2 linked regions of the Caenorhabditis elegans genome follow. The gene in region 1 interacts genetically with each later gene. Each region holds a gene or a part of one and is shown in the gene's direction. Other genes may lie near its edges. The genes, in order: eaf-1 and set-6.

Region 1 (8,276 bases):
AAATTTCAATCTATTTTTTTTTTTGCAATTTACCACTAGTTTTTTTGACTGGTGGTTCCTCTCTTTCATAGCTTGGAGAACGTCTTGTACGCCGATCCGGGGAACGTGGAGACCGTGGAGAGCGGCGTCTGTAACTTTGTTTTGATTAATTTTTTATTGATTAAAGGTGGAGTTCCATCAATGGGAATTTTACTTCAAAATACTCAAGCTGGCCAATTAACTACAAAAAGGAAATGAAAAAAAAATGCATGAAGCATGAAAATATTATTTTTACGATTTTACAACTCTTGCTAATCTCCTAATTTGAATTACCGCGCGTTTGACTCTGAACTCCGCCTAAAACAATGCCGCAGTTCGGCTTTTTTTCCAATTTCGACGCAAACTCTGCTTTTTTTGTGCGGTTTTTCCAATTTTTATAATTTTTAGCAAAGGCCAGAAATACTCAATAATTGTTTCTTATTTGAAAATTTTTGGATGTTAGCAGGAGTTGCAAAAGCGCTGTTTTTTTTTCAAATTTAACGCAGCTTTTTCGTTTTTCTTTTGTGGTACTTCTGAATTTGAGACAATTTGCATTTTTTCATGCCTACTCCACTTTAATTACAGATCAGTCTAACAAACCTTGATTCACGACGATCATCACGTCTATCATCACGGCGGTCATCATCACGACGATCATCATCTCCCCAACGAGAACGTCTCCTAGCTCCCATATCATCTTGTCTACGACGATCAATTTGAGAACGATCACGATCATAATCACGATGTTCTCTTCCTCCATCTCTTCCTGCACCACCGCCGCCGCGCATCTCTCGTTGTTCACGATTCCACATTTCAGATTGATCCAAAAGACGTCCACGTCCATTTTCCGGACGGAATGGTGGACCTCCACCACCTCGTCTATCAAAATGTGGTGGTGGTGGACCACCGTGTCCTCCACGTCCACCACGGAATGATGGTGGTGGTGGCATATGATGCATACCGCCACGTGGTGGTGGTGGGAATGAGCTCATTGGACCAGCTCCACGGCCAAATGGTGGTGGTGGTGCGCCAGCGTTGAATCCTTGTTGGAACTGAAATTTTTGATTAGAATAGACATTTTAAATAACATAGAGCGGGTTTTACTACGTGACCTAGGAAAATCATGCACCCAGATTTTTCTGAAACTTGCCGAAAATGATCTTATAAAGGGTTTATATCGTTCTGTGGTGGCGATTTTCGAATGAAAATTTTTCTTTTTTATTTTAAATGGGTGGCCGAGTTTTCTGTTTTCTTTTAGCATAAATTTTTTCATTTTTTCGAAATTTTGAACCACCGAAACTCGTTCATTTGGGCAAATTTCGAGTCTTTACAATCCAAAAACTCAGAAGTCATCCTTTAATAACTTCTTACCATTGGTGGTGGTGGCTTATTTGGATCGAATCCCATTGGTGGAATACCCTGTGGTGGTGGAGGACCAACTCCTGGCGGTGGTGGAGCCGGTGGATATCCTGGAATTCCGGGTGGTGGTGGAGCATTGAGATTGAACTGAAATTAATTTGGTAAGATATAAAAGTCTACAAAAATCATTATTAAAGAGATAAATTACCATCGGTGGAACACCTGGAGGAAGACCTGCAGGTCTTGGTTGACCGGGTAATTGTGTGAGTTGATGTTGGAATGGGAAACCCATTGGAGGTGGATGTGGGACTGGAGGTTGAATATTTGGTGGTGGTATAGAAATCACTGTTTCGCCGGTTTCTTTATAAAGCAATTTCTTTTCAATTGGTAGAGATTCAATATCCAACATAGCTCCTTCACAAAGTGCCACTAAATCCAGCGGAAGTTTTTCATATGGGATTTCCAAGACTCCACGATTAGAATCCCATAAATCAGAAAATTGATCTGAATCCATCCCAGGACTTCTTGCCCAGTAAACTTTGACCATTTTCTTGGCGACCGAAACTTCACGCATTTTTGAAACAACATCGTTCGCAGATCTTCGATTTTCCATTGTGATGTAGGCGCATGCACGATTTCCGATAACTTTAACACGAGATGCTTCTCCACATGATTCGACGGCTTGCTTCAAATCGTTTTCAACTATATTTGTGGGGATTTTCTTGAGCCAAAGTGTACGTGAGGCGACTGTAAATTGAAGAAAATATTAATTTGTTTGAATTTCAATAAATTTGTTAAGATATTGTTTCGATACAATATTTCAGGAATTATTTCATAGTGATTTTGTATGATTTTTACAAGGAGCACCAATTTTTTATACGAAAAAGACTTCGAATGATTTTATTATTTTTAAAATCAAAATTGAAATCATCCAAAAATCCCTTTTTTTTGGAAGTTTTTTAGCTCTTCTTGTAAAATCATACAAAATCGCAACTCGTTGTTGTAAAACATACTAATAGTAAATCCAATTCTAACAGGTGGCAATCCCATTCTTCTTCTCTCTTTGCTCTCTCTTTCCTTCTCTTTTTCCCTTAATCGAGCTCGTTCCACATCTCCACTATTGTTAATTCCACTATTTCCACCACTTAATTCCAATATTTTTTTCTCTGGACTCTGTGCGGCTTCATTCAACATTGCTTGCTGTTGAGCTGCTGCGGCGGCTTGGAGGTCATTTAACATTGGATTAACACCATGTTGAAGAGCAAATGGATTAAGCAATGGATTTCCAAGCATAAGAAGATTTCGCTGAGCATTTGGATTTCCTTGTAGAGCTTGAAGTTGAGCAGCACGTTGTTGCAGTTGGAGCATATTCTGAGCATTTTGAACATTCATCAGTTGGGCTTGGTTGAGGCCTGAGAGATTTGGAAGTCCGAGCTGTTGATTTGGAAAACCTGGCGGCAGAGATTGTTGAAGAGCCATCAGATTTGGTGGTGGAGCTCCCAATGTTAAAGCTGCTGACGATGTTGGAACAATATGTTCGCCTGGGAACGGAAGACCAAATGGATTTCCTTGAGGTATCAAGACTTCAGCGAGTTTTGCGAGTATTTGAGGTTGAGTAAGCAAACTTTGAGCCAATCTAGAATTTGAAAAAAAAATTAGAAACATTCTGGAATTAAGAAAAAAATAAAATGCATCAAAAACTCACAACAGGACTTGAGCATGTGGCAGATTTTTCTGTTTCTCTGGTTGTGGTTCCTTTTCCTTCTCTTCTTCATCATCCGAGTATTCAAAATCTTTTGTTAACACATTCTGTATACTACTTCCATTAATCCGATTATTCTCCGCTAGAACTTCTTCTACTTTTTGACTCAAGGATCCAGCGAATATTTGAAGTGCTCTCTGGAGAAGATTCTTGTCCTTACTTAAAACTCCACTGCGATCTATGCCGAACTTCTGAACCAATTCCAACATTTCTCTCTCAGAAATAGTTCCAAGGAAGTAATCTTCAGAAAGCACAAAGTTCGGAATATCTGGGACAGATCTCAGAGCAGATGATGGTCCAGCACCGAGAAGTCCATCATCCGGATGTGGATTTGTAGGAGTACGAGATTTCGGTTGAGACGATGATGAAGACCTTTTTGGCTTTTTCTTGTAAACTCCGGAATAAATGCTCATATCAGCCTGTTTTCCCTTCACGGCGAGCTCAACTTCCTCGAAATCGATAGCTAAAAATCAAACTTTTTTTTTGAATTCTCCACCATAATTACTTACTTAATCCAGAAGCCTTGCACATCTCTCTCAGTGGTTGAATCTCTGATTCCTTGAAAACTTTATTGGACATCCACAAATTAAGAGTTCTAACTGTTCTCATTTTCTCTTTCTGTCCACACTTTAACAGCGGCATCAAAAACTTGTCAAACTGCTTCATAAACCGTGGGCCAAATGTGTCTTTTTCTTTAAGTTGATGTTTTGAAGCACGGACTATTGAATCGATTACATAGAGCACATTTAGACGTTGATCTGGCTTGCACTGAAAAATCATTAATAAAAATAAATAAATTATTTAATTTAAATTTCGATTTCTCGAAATCATTCTAACCTTATTGATAAGTTTTTCAACTGAAAAAACCACATGCTTATATTGGCTTTTTGCTTTGATCGCAGCCTTTGTTATATCCTGAATCTTGTTCTTGCTCATGTTTTTCGAGTCGAATAGTGACGACAATTCATTATTAAACGATTTCATCACTTCCGTCTCCATGGTGATCCCACTGATGAGAGTTTTGTTCTGAAAAAAGCCAATTCAAATTAAAATCGATAATGCGAAGCGAGAAAATAAACTGAATAAAAGGAATAGTGGAAAGATACAATTGCAGAATTAAGAGTAAAGGTGGATGTGCTAATTTTAACGAATAGCAAATATTCCAAACGCTTATTTTTGAAAAATCGATAAATGCGATATGTCGACGGTTTAAAATCCAATGTAAACTATTTTCCCACTAAGTTTTTTCATGATTTTGATACTTTTTCAGTAGTTGAATATAATTTAATAATTTATGTACAAATTCATCTAATTATAGCGTTTTGAATGAAAATAGGAAAGAAAGCCGGCATAAAAATGGTAAAGCGCCGAGGTCAACACTGTGCCGCACACTTGCAAAACGGCGTGCCAGGCTTGCCAACCGAAGACTCCGCCCACAGCTAATGGTACTCTCGCGCACACAATTGGCACTATTCTGAAGAATTTCATTGTAATATATAATAAAATTATCGATTTTTTTTTCAAATTAAAAAATTCAAAATATTCACATATGATTTAATAATAATCATTTTTTCAGTTTCACATGGCAGAGTCAAGTGATATTCCGAATGGTACTTACACCTTGACCCTCGGGAAGTCATTTGAAGTAAAAGGACGGAAAAGTGACCCTAAGGCAGAGCAATTTCACACGCTAAGATGTAGGTTAACTGCACAATTTTAAGATTAAATATATCAGAAATTTAAAAATATAAAATCGAAATAGCTAAAATTTACAGACGATTTCAAGCCAAGCTCTGTATCAAACAATGCCGACACCTTCATAGCGTTTGGGAACAGCGGTGATGTACATGTCTCTGTACCAAGCGAAGGAGACAATATGACTGTATATAAAGGATCGAAAAAAGAAGCAAAACCGAAAGAATGTCTTCTGTTCTTCGACAAAAAGACCAACACAGTTCGCTTGGAGAAAATTACGAGCAATATTAATGTAAAAAAGACGAGAGATCTAGATCAAGGAACAGAACTCGCATTGAAACGTGGAATCGAAAGATTGAGAACTTCTTCTAATAATCAGCGATCTGGACCATCTTCACCGGAGGAGAAAGCGAAAATTCAGAAACAAATGCAGAGAGATACATCAGATTCGAGTAGTGATTCTGATGGATCATCTGATTCCGACAAATCGAATGGCGATTCCAGTGATGATGAAGATGAGAGCGAGAAGATATTATTGGAAGAAATGAAAAAGCCCAAACCATATACAGAAAGAGAACCCGCACCGCCTTCGTCTTCAAATACCTACAATCACAAAGAAAGCCACGTGGCTCCCTATATATCAAGTAGTGGAAATAAAAACAAAGATTCTGAGGAGAAGTATGGATTGGCACTTAGCGAAAGCTCCGACGAAGATGACTAATTTTAAAACATAATATTATTCAGTGTATTCAACCGTCTTTCTTGTGTACTTGTACTAGTGGTGGCAGTTATTTGCTTCTGTGATTTTTTATTTATTTCAAAACCGGGCTATCTATCGCAATCATAAATTTTTTCATTCAGGCTATTCAACAGTTTTATTTTTTCAGGTTTTCTGTTTAATCCGTGCACTATTTTAAAGTCGAACTAAAGTTTCTCTGAAATTTTTAAAATTCGCTGAAACCATTTTATCAATAGAGCATGCTTCTTGCGCTAAACAGTGTCGTTTGTAGACGTCGATTTTATCTTCAAATTTCTGTGTTTTTCTCACATATTGTTCATGATTTCAGATGGAAACTCACCGGTATATTCCAGAACATGCCGTCCCAATGCCGATTTCAGCGCTATTCAATTCAACAAAAGAACGAATCGAGTACGGAACGGCAGACGTTGTTCGCGTTCAAGTGATGGGTGTAATCGAATCTGTGAAGTTCGGAGATTCTGATGTAGAATACATGATTACTGATAAAGATAATCATAATATTTTGGTTCAAAAAATCCTCACCGTTAGTCTGAATATATCGTGTAACATTGGAAAAAAGTATTAATTTCAGGCTTCTTTCACCGAAGAATCTGCCAAGAAGTTCAACGTCGGGGACCGTGTTGAAGTATTCGGAAAAGTTCGAATTTTGGAGAATGGAAAGAAGTTTTTGAACGCATTTTCGATGCACAAAGCTTCAGATGAACAATTCGCCGCTTTTCAAATAATCTGCCGTTTTTCAGAGAAGTTCTATAAAAAGGCAAGTTTCAGTGAATTTTTAAAAGCCAATAATTGCCCATTTTCCAGCACACACCTATCTTGCCAGCAGGCGCCAGCACCAATGTTCCTACTCGTTTCGGTTTGAAGAACAAAGTGGGAAGTTTGAATCGGTTCCCAATGGGAATGCTGGAACAATCATCTTCTTGCGAAAATAATATGGGAGTGTGGCCAACGGAAATTGAACAATTGGCAGCAGGAATATCGACAAGTGGACTTGTTAAAGAAGAATCAGATGTATCTGAGGATAGCAGTGATGATTCGGATGAAGAGGATGAGGAGGAAGAAGAAGAAGATGATGAGGAAGATTCATTTGATAAAGGACCAGTGAGCCTTGTGCCAATGGCTCGAAAGGAGAAGCCAAAAGAGGAGCCGGAACCAGAATATGATTCCTTCGAAAACGCCTGAATTTATAATATTCAGCTTAATTTTATTTTATCGTGTTCAATTTTCACTTATAGACATCTTGCCTTGTCTTTCATTCCACAATCTGTTTTATAAACTTTTATTTCTTTTTTTTTAAATAATTTCAATTTCTAATATGTTCCCTTAAAGGTTTTAAACCTTTTTTCATATCTTCAGTCGGCGGCACACGGTAATTGCCATTTTCCCAATATTCTTTCTAATGAAATTTCAGTATTCTACAACTAAATTTTAATGAAAGAAATTGGTAGAACATTTTATAATAAAAAACGCTTGAAATAAGCAAAATGAAACTAAGAAACTTCTATTTTTCACCAAAAAATTGATTTTTTAGTAATTCATCGAAAAAAAAATGGTTTCAGGCCTGGTCAATCCCCTATACCAATTAAATCTAAAATGCAATCAATCAATCTTCCTGTGGATCATTCCAAGATTGATGCTAACTTTGAAGGATACAAAGTTTCCATGAATAATGTGCACTTTTCGAGCAAAAGCCTGGATCAAAATTGTAATAAAAATCATTTAAATTTTCCATTTTTCGCAAAAAATAATTTTCAGTATGTCTTCGTGCTCCATCCAATGAAATGATTACTCTGCAACATATGAAAGTGTTCTCAAATGATAATCAGCTGTTTTGTGATTATTCGAAATGCACGGATTCCCAACAATTTTTGTATCGTATTTTAGACACCGGGCATATTCAGGCAATGGTTTATGAGAAAAAGGTACATAATTTTACTGTGAATGAGGGTTTCGCTTCAAAAATACTTAACGAATAAACTTAATTGTTTCTTTTCAAAAAATTAAATAAATAATTTCAGACCCAAATATGGAATACCTCGATCGTTGGCTCCATTGATGTTGGGACAAATGCCTCTTCCGCTTTTCCTACTAATCTCTTGTTCACTGAAAACAATCTGGTCGTCGCTTGCAATGGAATTTCTGAAATTACAGTTTTCCTGGCTGTCTCTGACTCAAATTGGGTTAAAATGCTGGAGCATAAGGTTTCAGAGCAAGGTCTTTCACTGATTGAAGCTCGAATTTTAAATGGAAAACTTAATATTTTGGCATATCACGTGGAAAGTGATGATTCCAAAAAGACCAGAAGCAGAATTCACTCGATTCGTATTAATTTGGATGGTTTGTATAATTAAATTTTGAAAAGTAAAAAATTTCCTTCTTTTTTTCCAGATATAGACTATGCTGATAGCCTTACAGTTGAGAAATCAATGGATTTAATTCAAAATGGACACTTTGAGGTTAATTTTTTGAAAATATCAGCGAGGTGCAAAATTTTGCAATGTATCCGGTCTCGACACGCTTTTGCTGTGAAGTAAAAACTGGCGCGCGCCTTTAAAGAGTACTGTAGATTCAAACTTATTTTTAATAGTTTATTTTTATAATTTGTGTGTTTTAATTGTTTTATTCTAGTTGTTTAATAAATATATATTTTTTAACGAAAAACTATTTAGAAAATTGATGAAA
Region 2 (8,505 bases), on another chromosome or scaffold:
TTTATAAACAAAAATTGATGAATTTTCGTAATTTTGAAAATTCATAAATCTCTTCAAAGTAACTTTTTTTGAAATGTCTTTCAGAAACTTTGTAGTAAATTTTAAGCTCTTTTAGAATTTACCAACAATATTTCAGTAAGTACAAGAAGCTTCACGTAGTTACAGAAATAGTACATTTTCAGCCCTACCTTTTAATGCGTATTTTATTATTTAATGAAAACTATCATTTATAAACAAAAATTGATGAATTTTCGTAATTTTGAAAATTCATAAATCTCTTCAAAGTAACTTTTTTCGAAATGTCTTTCAGAAACTTTGTAGTAAATTTTAAGCTCTTTCAGAATAAATAAAAAATATTTCAGTAGGTACAAGAAGCTTCACGTAGTTACAGATATAGTACATTTTCAGCCCTACCTTATAATGCGTATTTTATTATTTAATTAAAACTACCATTTATAGGCAAAAATAGATGAATTTTCCAAACTTTGAAAATTCATAAATCTCTTCAAAGTAACTTTTTTCAAACATTCTATCATTGTCCAACCTAATGCAAGAAAATGTATTCAGAATATATTAACAATATTTCAGTAGGTACAAGAAGCTTCACGTAGTTACAGAAATAGTACATTTTCAGCCCTACCTTTTAGTGCGTATTTTATTATTTAATAAAAACTACCATTAATAGGCAAAAATATATGGATTTTCCAAACCTTTGAAAATTCATAAATCTCTTCAAAGTAACTTTTTTCGAAATGTCTTTCAGAAACTTTGTAGTAAATTTTAAGCTCTTTCAGAATATATTAACAATATTTCAGTAGGTACAAGAAGCTTCACGTAGTTACAGAAATAGTACATTTTCAGCCCTACCTTTTAGTGCGTATTTTATTATTTAATAAAAACTACCATTAATAGGCAAAAATAGATGAATTTTCGTAATTTTGAAAATTCATAAATCTCTTCAAAGTAACTTTTTTCGAAATGTCTTTCAGAAACTTTGTAGTAAATTTTAAGCTCTTTCAGAATATATTAACAATATTTCAGTAGGTACAAGAAGCTTCACGTAGTTACAGAAATAGTACATTTTCAGCCCTACCTTTTAATGCGTATTTTAGTATTTAATGAAAACTACCATTTAAAGGCAAAAATAGATGAATTTTCGTAATTTTGAAAATTCATAAATCTCTTCAAAGTAACTTTTTTTGAAATGTCTTTCAGAAACTTTGGAGTAAATTTTAAGCTCTTTTAGAATTTACCAACAATATTTCAGTAAGTACAAGAAGCTTCACGTAGTTACAGAAATAGTACATTTTCAGCCCTACCTTTTAATGCGTATTTTATTATTTAATGAAAACTATCATTTATAAACAAAAATTGATGAATTTTCGTAATTTTGAAAATTCATAAATCTCTTCAAAGTAACTTTTTTCGAAATGTCTTTCAGAAACTTTGTAGTAAATTTTAAGCTCTTTCAGAATATATTAACAATATTTCAGTAGGTACAAGAAGCTTCACGTAGTTACAGAAATAGTACATTTTCAGCCCTACCTTTTAATGCGTATTTTAGTATTTAATGAAAACTACCATTTAAAGGCAAAAATAGATGAATTTTCGTAATTTTGAAAATTCATAAATCTCTTCAAAGTAACTTTTTTCGAAATGTCTTTCAGAAACTTTGTAGTAAATTTTAAGCTCTTTCAGAATATATTAACAATATTTCAGTAGGTACAAGAAGCTTCACGTAGTTACAGAAATAGTACATTTTCAGCCCTACCTTTTAATGCGTATTTTAGTATTTAATGAAAACTACCATTTAAAGGCAAAAATAGATGAATTTTCGTAATTTTGAAAATTCATAAATCTCTTCAAAGTAACTTTTTTTGAAATGTCTTTCAGAAACTTTGTAGTAAATTTTAAGCTCTTGTAGAATTTACCAACAATATTTCAGTAAGTACAAGAAGCTTCACGTAGTTACAGAAATAGTACATTTTCAGCCCTACCTTTTAGTGCGTATTTTATTATTTAATTAAAACTACCATTTAGAGGCAAAAATAGATGAATTTTCGTAATTTTGAAAATTCATAAATCTCTTCAAAGTAACTTTTTTTGAAATGTCTTTCAGAAACTTTGTAGTAAATTTTAAGCTCTTGTAGAATTTACCAACAATATTTCAGTAAGTACAAGAAGCTTCACGTAGTTACAGAAATAGTACATTTTCAGCCCTACCTTTTAATGCGTATTTTAGTATTTAATGAAAACTACCATTTAAAGGCAAAAATAGATGAATTTTCGTAATTTTGAAAATTCATAAATCTCTTCAAAGTAACTTTTTTTGAAATGTCTTTCAGAAACTTTGTAGTAAATTTTAAGCTCTTTCAGAATATATTAACAATATTTCAGTAGGTACAAGAAGCTTCACGTAGTTACAGAAATAGTACATTTTCAGCCCTACCTTATAATGCGTATTTTATTATTTAATTAAAACTACCATTTATAGGCAAAAATAGAGGGATTTTCCAAACTTTGAAAATTCATAAATCTCTTCAAAGTAACTTTTTTTGAAATGTCTTTCAGAAACTTTGTAGTAAATTTTAAGCTCTTTCAGAATATATTAACAATATTTCAGTAGGTACAAGAAGCTTCACGTAGTTACAGAAATAGTACATTTTCAGCCCTACCTTATAATGCGTATTTTATTATTTAATGAAAACTACCATTTAGAGGCAAAAATAGATGAATTTTCGTAATTTTGAAAATTCATAAATCTCTTCAAAGTAACTTTTTTCGAAATGTCTTTCAGAAACTTTGTAGTAAATTTTAAGCTCTTTCAGAATATATTAACAATATTTCAGTAGGTACAAGAAGCTTCACGTAGTTACAGAAATAGTACATTTTCAGCCCTACCTTATAATGCGTATTTTATTATTTAATTAAAACTACCATTTATAGGCAAAAATAGATGAATTTTCCAAACTTTGAAAATTCATAAATCTCTTCAAAGTAACTTTTTTCAAAATGTCTTTCAAAAACTCTGTAGTAAATTTTAAGCTCTTTCAGAATATATTAACAATATTTCAGTAGGTACAAGAAGCTTCACGTAGTTACAGAAATAGTACATTTTCAGCCCTACCTTATAATGCGTATTTTATTATTTAATAAAAACTACCATTAATAGGCAAAAATATATGGATTTTCGTAACTTTGAAAATTCATAAATCTCTTCAAAGTAACTTTTTTCGAAATGTCTTTCAGAAACTTTGTAGTAAATTTTAAGCTCTTTCAGAATATATTAACAATATTTCAGTAGGTACAAGAAGCTTCACGTAGTTACAGAAATAGTACATTTTCAGCCCTACCTTATAATGCGTATTTTATTATTTAATGAAAACTACCATTTAGAGGCAAAAATAGATGAATTTTCGTAATTTTCAAAATTCATAAATCTCTTCAAAGTAACTTTTTTTGAAATGTCTTTCAGAAACTTTGTAGTAAATTTTAAGCTCTTTCAGAATATATTAACAATATTCCAGTAGGTACAAGAAGCTTCACGTAGTTACAGAAATAGTACATTTTCAGCTTTACCTTTTAGTGCGTATTTTATTAGTTAATGAAAACTACCATTAATAGGCAAAAATAGATGGATTTTCCAAACTTTGAAAATTCATAAATCTCTTCAAAGTAACTTTTTTCGAAATGTCTTTTAGAAACTTTGTAGTAAATTTTAAGCTCTTTTAGAATATACCAACAATATTCCAGTAGGTACAAGAAGCTTCACGTAGTTACAGAAATAGTACATTTTCAGCTTTACCTTTTAGTGCGTATTTTATTAGTTAATGAAAACTACCATTTATAGGCAAAAATAGATGAATTTTTATTAAATAATAAAATACGCTCTAAAAGGTAGGGCTGAAAATGTACTATTTCTGTAACTACGTGAAGCTTCTTGTAACTACTGAAATATTGTTAATATATTCTGAAAGAGCTTAAAATTTACTACAAAGTTTCTGAAAGACATTTCAAAAAAAGTTACTTTGAAGAGATTTATGAATTTTCAAAATTACAAAAATTCATCTATTTTTGCCTATTAATGGTAGTTTTTATTAAATAATAAAATACGCTCTAAAAGGTAGGGCTGAAAATGTACTATTTCTGTAACTACGTGAAGCTTCTTGTACCTACTGGAATATTGTTGGTATATTCTAAAATTATTCAGCTATATCGTATCGTATTCAGCTATATCGTATCGTATTTAGCTATATCGTTTGTCTTTTGTGCCTTCATTCTTTTAAAGACATAACATTTTACTAATAGGCTTTTTTTTCTAAATTTTGATACTGCTCATACGAATACAATTGAAGATTTTAATATTGTCTTCGCTCCTCTCACATTTGTCAGTCAATTGAACTGGTTAGAATGCACTCTCTAAATCTCTCTTCCCCAATTCCAGTCTCTCTTCTCTCTCAAACTGCTTTAGTATCTGCGTCTGTTAGTACGTCTGCTCTCTATTTGTTCCGCTTTTTCACTGGACAAGATTATTGATTTTTTCAAAACGCGAGTTAACTTGTCATATTGTTAGTTCTTTTTTTCGAAAGTTTTCAATAATTGAATCTTATTTTTTCTTTGTACTATAGTAATAATCGTAATTTTTTATTCATCGACATGAAATTCATTTTCCACAACTTTAATTAGTTTACTGCTTATAGAAAATGGAACGATCTCGAACTGGAGGTTCATCAACATATTCAATGTCAACAGCAAATGTTCCAATAATAACAATAAGTGACGACGACGATGTAAGTGCCATTTTTGTAGATGGAAGTTTGTTTGAAATAGAAACGTTTCCTAGATTTCATTTTCACGATAACTTATCTTCAGGAACTGACCATTTGGGAAGAACCACGGAAAAGCCCCATCTCATCAAATAGTTATTCAGATGAAAGAAATCACTCCCTATCTAGCACATCAAATAGCTCTGTTGAACGGTCTATTATAATTACAATTAGTGATGATGAATCTGAAGTAAGTTTTCAATGTTTTTGACTTCTCAACAAACAAAAAGATATATATTCTGAATAGTTGCAAATTTATAGTTCCGCCTAATCACAGTCATTTTACAGGCTACGGAAAGAAACCAGCAGGAAGTTGTTGATCGAGCGATTTCAAATAATTTGACGGAAAAGCGTAGAAGATCAGTTGAATCTTTTCATAGATTAGTAGGTTGTTTTTATTTTTGAAACGAGATTCTTCAAATATAACAATTTCAACGGTAATATCTACTAGCCTAATTTTAACAAAAAATGTATTCTCTGCACAGTACTGAAAAAAAGTATGAAATTGAAATGTGCAGCTTGCTACTAATTTTTAAATAAGTATAACGTCAAATGCTCATTGAAGCAGTCTGGCGACTTTCAGCTCCAAATTTATTGAACTCTGGAAAAATGATTCGAACGTGAATAGTCACTAGAGCAAATTACTCAGAAGTGACAACGGCCTGGAATGCAGATTAACTGGATTGCTCACTTCTATAACTAAAAACTACTTTCAAATTGTATTTGTTTAATGACAATGTTCACTTTTCATGCTAGAAACTAGAAATTTTTAAAAAAAGTTTTGAATGTGAAAATACAGAAAAAATACGGTTTTCATCCATTGGCCATTATCAAAATTGTTCTTGAACTGTTTGACTCCCTGATATGTTCATATTTTAATCGTACGTGATGAGAATTTGTTTGTATATCAAACAATTGCTACAAAAAAAACATAATTTTCACAATAATACTAATTCCAGCATTCGAAAGAAAGAAAACTGGAAGTTAAGTCTCGAAAAAAGAGTAGGACCTCATCGAGCTCAATGGAAGCATCCACATCATGTACATTTCCAGCACGCCAAGTGGGTTTTACATATTTTATTGCCACCGAATTCCGTTAGTTCAAATTCGCTAAGAACATTTACAGAGAGATTTAGAGAGACCCCTCCTTGTGCAACAAAATGTTTTTTTTTCAGACAAAAACAAAACGTCATAAAAGGAAAACATACAGCACAATATCTTCGTTTGCTCCTCATCACAGTACTATATGTGCAGAACTACGAAACGTCAACCCAGCGAGGGTAATCATATTTACAGATTTTAAAAATTTGAAAACCGAATTGAATAAAACTGTTGTATTTACAATAACTGAAAAACAGTGCTCAACTGTATCATTCAAAATTATCTACTTATTGACAATGTTCTAGCTGAAAATTGTATTTTCAGATTGCGGACTTTCGTCACCCATCTATTTTTGAGTACTCCGACATGAGCTTGAATGAAAGAAGAGAACACTGGAAAAAAGAAATGAAAGTAATAAAGAAACACAACGACATCCGTCTAATGCACGAAGAAGCTGTTAGGTTCGACGACATTATAGAGCTAGACCCAACGTTGAATGGATATTACCGAAGATTCATGGGAGCCGAGCAAAGCACGAGAGCTCTGTTTATGGCTGTTCGATGTCTGGCCACCTTTGGCCGTAATTTCTATGAAGAACCTGAACGTGATCATGGGGAAGAAGAAATACCTGAGTGAGGAATTTTTATGTAGACTTATATGTTATAAAGCTTAATTTCAGAGAGCTCGACCGTTACTTTGAAAAGTTGATATATGTGGCGCCTAGAACACGGATTCGTATTACGGATGATATTCACTTGTCAAATGATACCCACAGAATTCCAGTTTACACAGATGCAAAAGGCGAAACACTAAAAACAGTCAAAATTCCAAACCCCCTTCTTTATGATCACATTATCAACAATATGGTGGACAAAGTTAAAGAGCCGTTGCTATATGAAGCAATCAAAATTGCAGGATCGTCAGAAAATGTGGTATGATGTTTTTCGATTCGAATTTATAAAACAACTGGCAAGTTGAAAAATTAAAATTGTAATTCGATAGTTTTTGCAACGACAGGCTTTGGCAATAGAAAAACATTCTTGAACAGTTGTGATGAGCGACCTAAGAAAAAACGTGTAGAATAAGTAGTAGTAGAGAACGTCAAGTTGGAGAACAAGTAAAAACCATTTTTATGGCTCTAAAATCATCAAATATCACAATTGTAAAATTTTGAACTTAATTTGGAAAACGTTTTGATTTTTTTCAAAATCCGAGAATAAAACGGTAAAAACTGAGTTTTCATCAACTTTATGTTTAAAAAAAATGTTTTTCTTCCAGTTTCTAGTAGTAGTTTTATGTTTGAATTATGTTTAAAATATTTTTAATTCAAAATTGTAAGGGGTTGAAACTGTTAGAATATTAAAAAACACTCTAAGAGAAGGAATTATATATGATTTAAAAATAAAAGTAAATGACAATGCAATATTTCATTTAGTAAAAGTATATCAGCTTTTTTATTCAGATTCGTTGTAAATGTTGTTCCCAAGATCCAGTCGTCAACTGTTTTGATAACAAAGATTGCCCGTGTTTTATTGCAAATCAGTTTTTGCAATCTAGAAACAAAACAACGGATACAAATGAAAAGTTGAAATTTGTAAGTATATTTCTCAGTTTTAATAATTATTTTGCAAATTGTCTATTTTCAGCATACTTTTCAACCCCTTATGTACAACGATGGAAATCCGACTTACTACAATACTGTTGGGTTTGCATGTTCACCAAAATGTGCTTGTAAAGGAGCTTGCACTAATAATGCAACGTACTTGATTCAAAAGAAACTGTACTCTATTGAAATTTATCGTGCAGATCCTCAAATTGGATTTGGAATTCGATCTACTCTGTTCATTCCAGCAGGGACTCCAATTATTGAATACTGCGGAGAACTAGTTGATGGAGAACGGCTGCATAGTTCATTGGAAAATTATAGTTACCAGTTAACTGACTGTGAAGGAGACAAACACCTTTACAACCTGCTTCGTGAAAAGTACAAAAACAATCCAGAATACTATGATGTACTGGACGAATTGAGCAAGCATCATTTTCACTTGGACGCCAAAATGCAAGGAAGTGTTGGCAGATTTGCAAATCATTCATGTACTCCGAATATGGAACCTCTTCGACTTTTCAAAGAAGGATTTACACCCGCCAATATGCGAATGATTTTTTTCACTCTGAAGGACATTTTTCCAGGAGAACCTGTAAGGAAATTTTTATATTTTTAAAATAAAGCAGCCATAGATGGGCCTGCCTGAAAAAGTGTCAATTCTGTTCCGGGTACAACATTTTAGTTACATTAAACTGAAAAAGTTCAGAATATATGGTACATTTTGCATGCAAATCTCATTTCCAATTTGTCCAATCGAGAGTCTAATAGAGGTTGCATATCATATTTTTTGATCAGTAAGACTTGTACAGTTTTGTATGTGATTTGAAAGACAAAAAATCACCTTAAATTACTCCCATTACACATTATTTCTTGAGAATCAACTGGATAAATATTGAAAAATCAACGAACAACTAAAAAATATACTTTTAAAATATTTCTGAAGAACATTTTATTTTTTCGATACACCACTTA

Evidence for each region.
Region 2: changes in eaf-1 (region 1) and set-6 impair growth when combined (synthetic growth defect), as found in Caenorhabditis elegans (one large-scale study listed by BioGRID).

Annotation. Positions count from the first base shown.
Region 1 is NC_003279.8:4,598,502-4,606,777, forward strand, and holds eaf-1 (Ell-associated factor Eaf), read left to right. Parts: upstream 1-4,715; 5' UTR 4,716-4,721; coding exon 4,722-4,836; intron 4,837-4,914; coding exon 4,915-5,555; 3' UTR 5,556-5,695; downstream 5,696-8,276. Other genes in the region: nrd-1 (CID domain-containing protein), read right to left, coding at 34-128, 619-1,070, 1,390-1,524, 1,586-2,124, 2,391-3,013, 3,083-3,602, 3,649-3,907, 3,977-4,138; D1007.8 (Nucleic acid-binding, OB-fold protein), read left to right, coding at 5,902-6,117, 6,166-6,351, 6,399-6,776; C44E4.5 (NudC domain-containing protein 1), read left to right, coding at 7,188-7,299, 7,350-7,516, 7,613-7,931, 7,983-8,050.
Region 2 is NC_003284.9:11,970,875-11,979,379, reverse strand, and holds the start of set-6 (Histone-lysine N-methyltransferase set-6), read left to right. Parts: upstream 1-4,700; 5' UTR 4,701-4,703; coding exon 4,704-4,790; intron 4,791-4,872; coding exon 4,873-5,016; intron 5,017-5,114; coding exon 5,115-5,210; intron 5,211-5,785; coding exon 5,786-5,887; intron 5,888-6,001; coding exon 6,002-6,106; intron 6,107-6,251; coding exon 6,252-6,559; intron 6,560-6,606; coding exon 6,607-6,859; intron 6,860-7,389; coding exon 7,390-7,521; intron 7,522-7,573; coding exon 7,574-8,125; intron 8,126-8,505.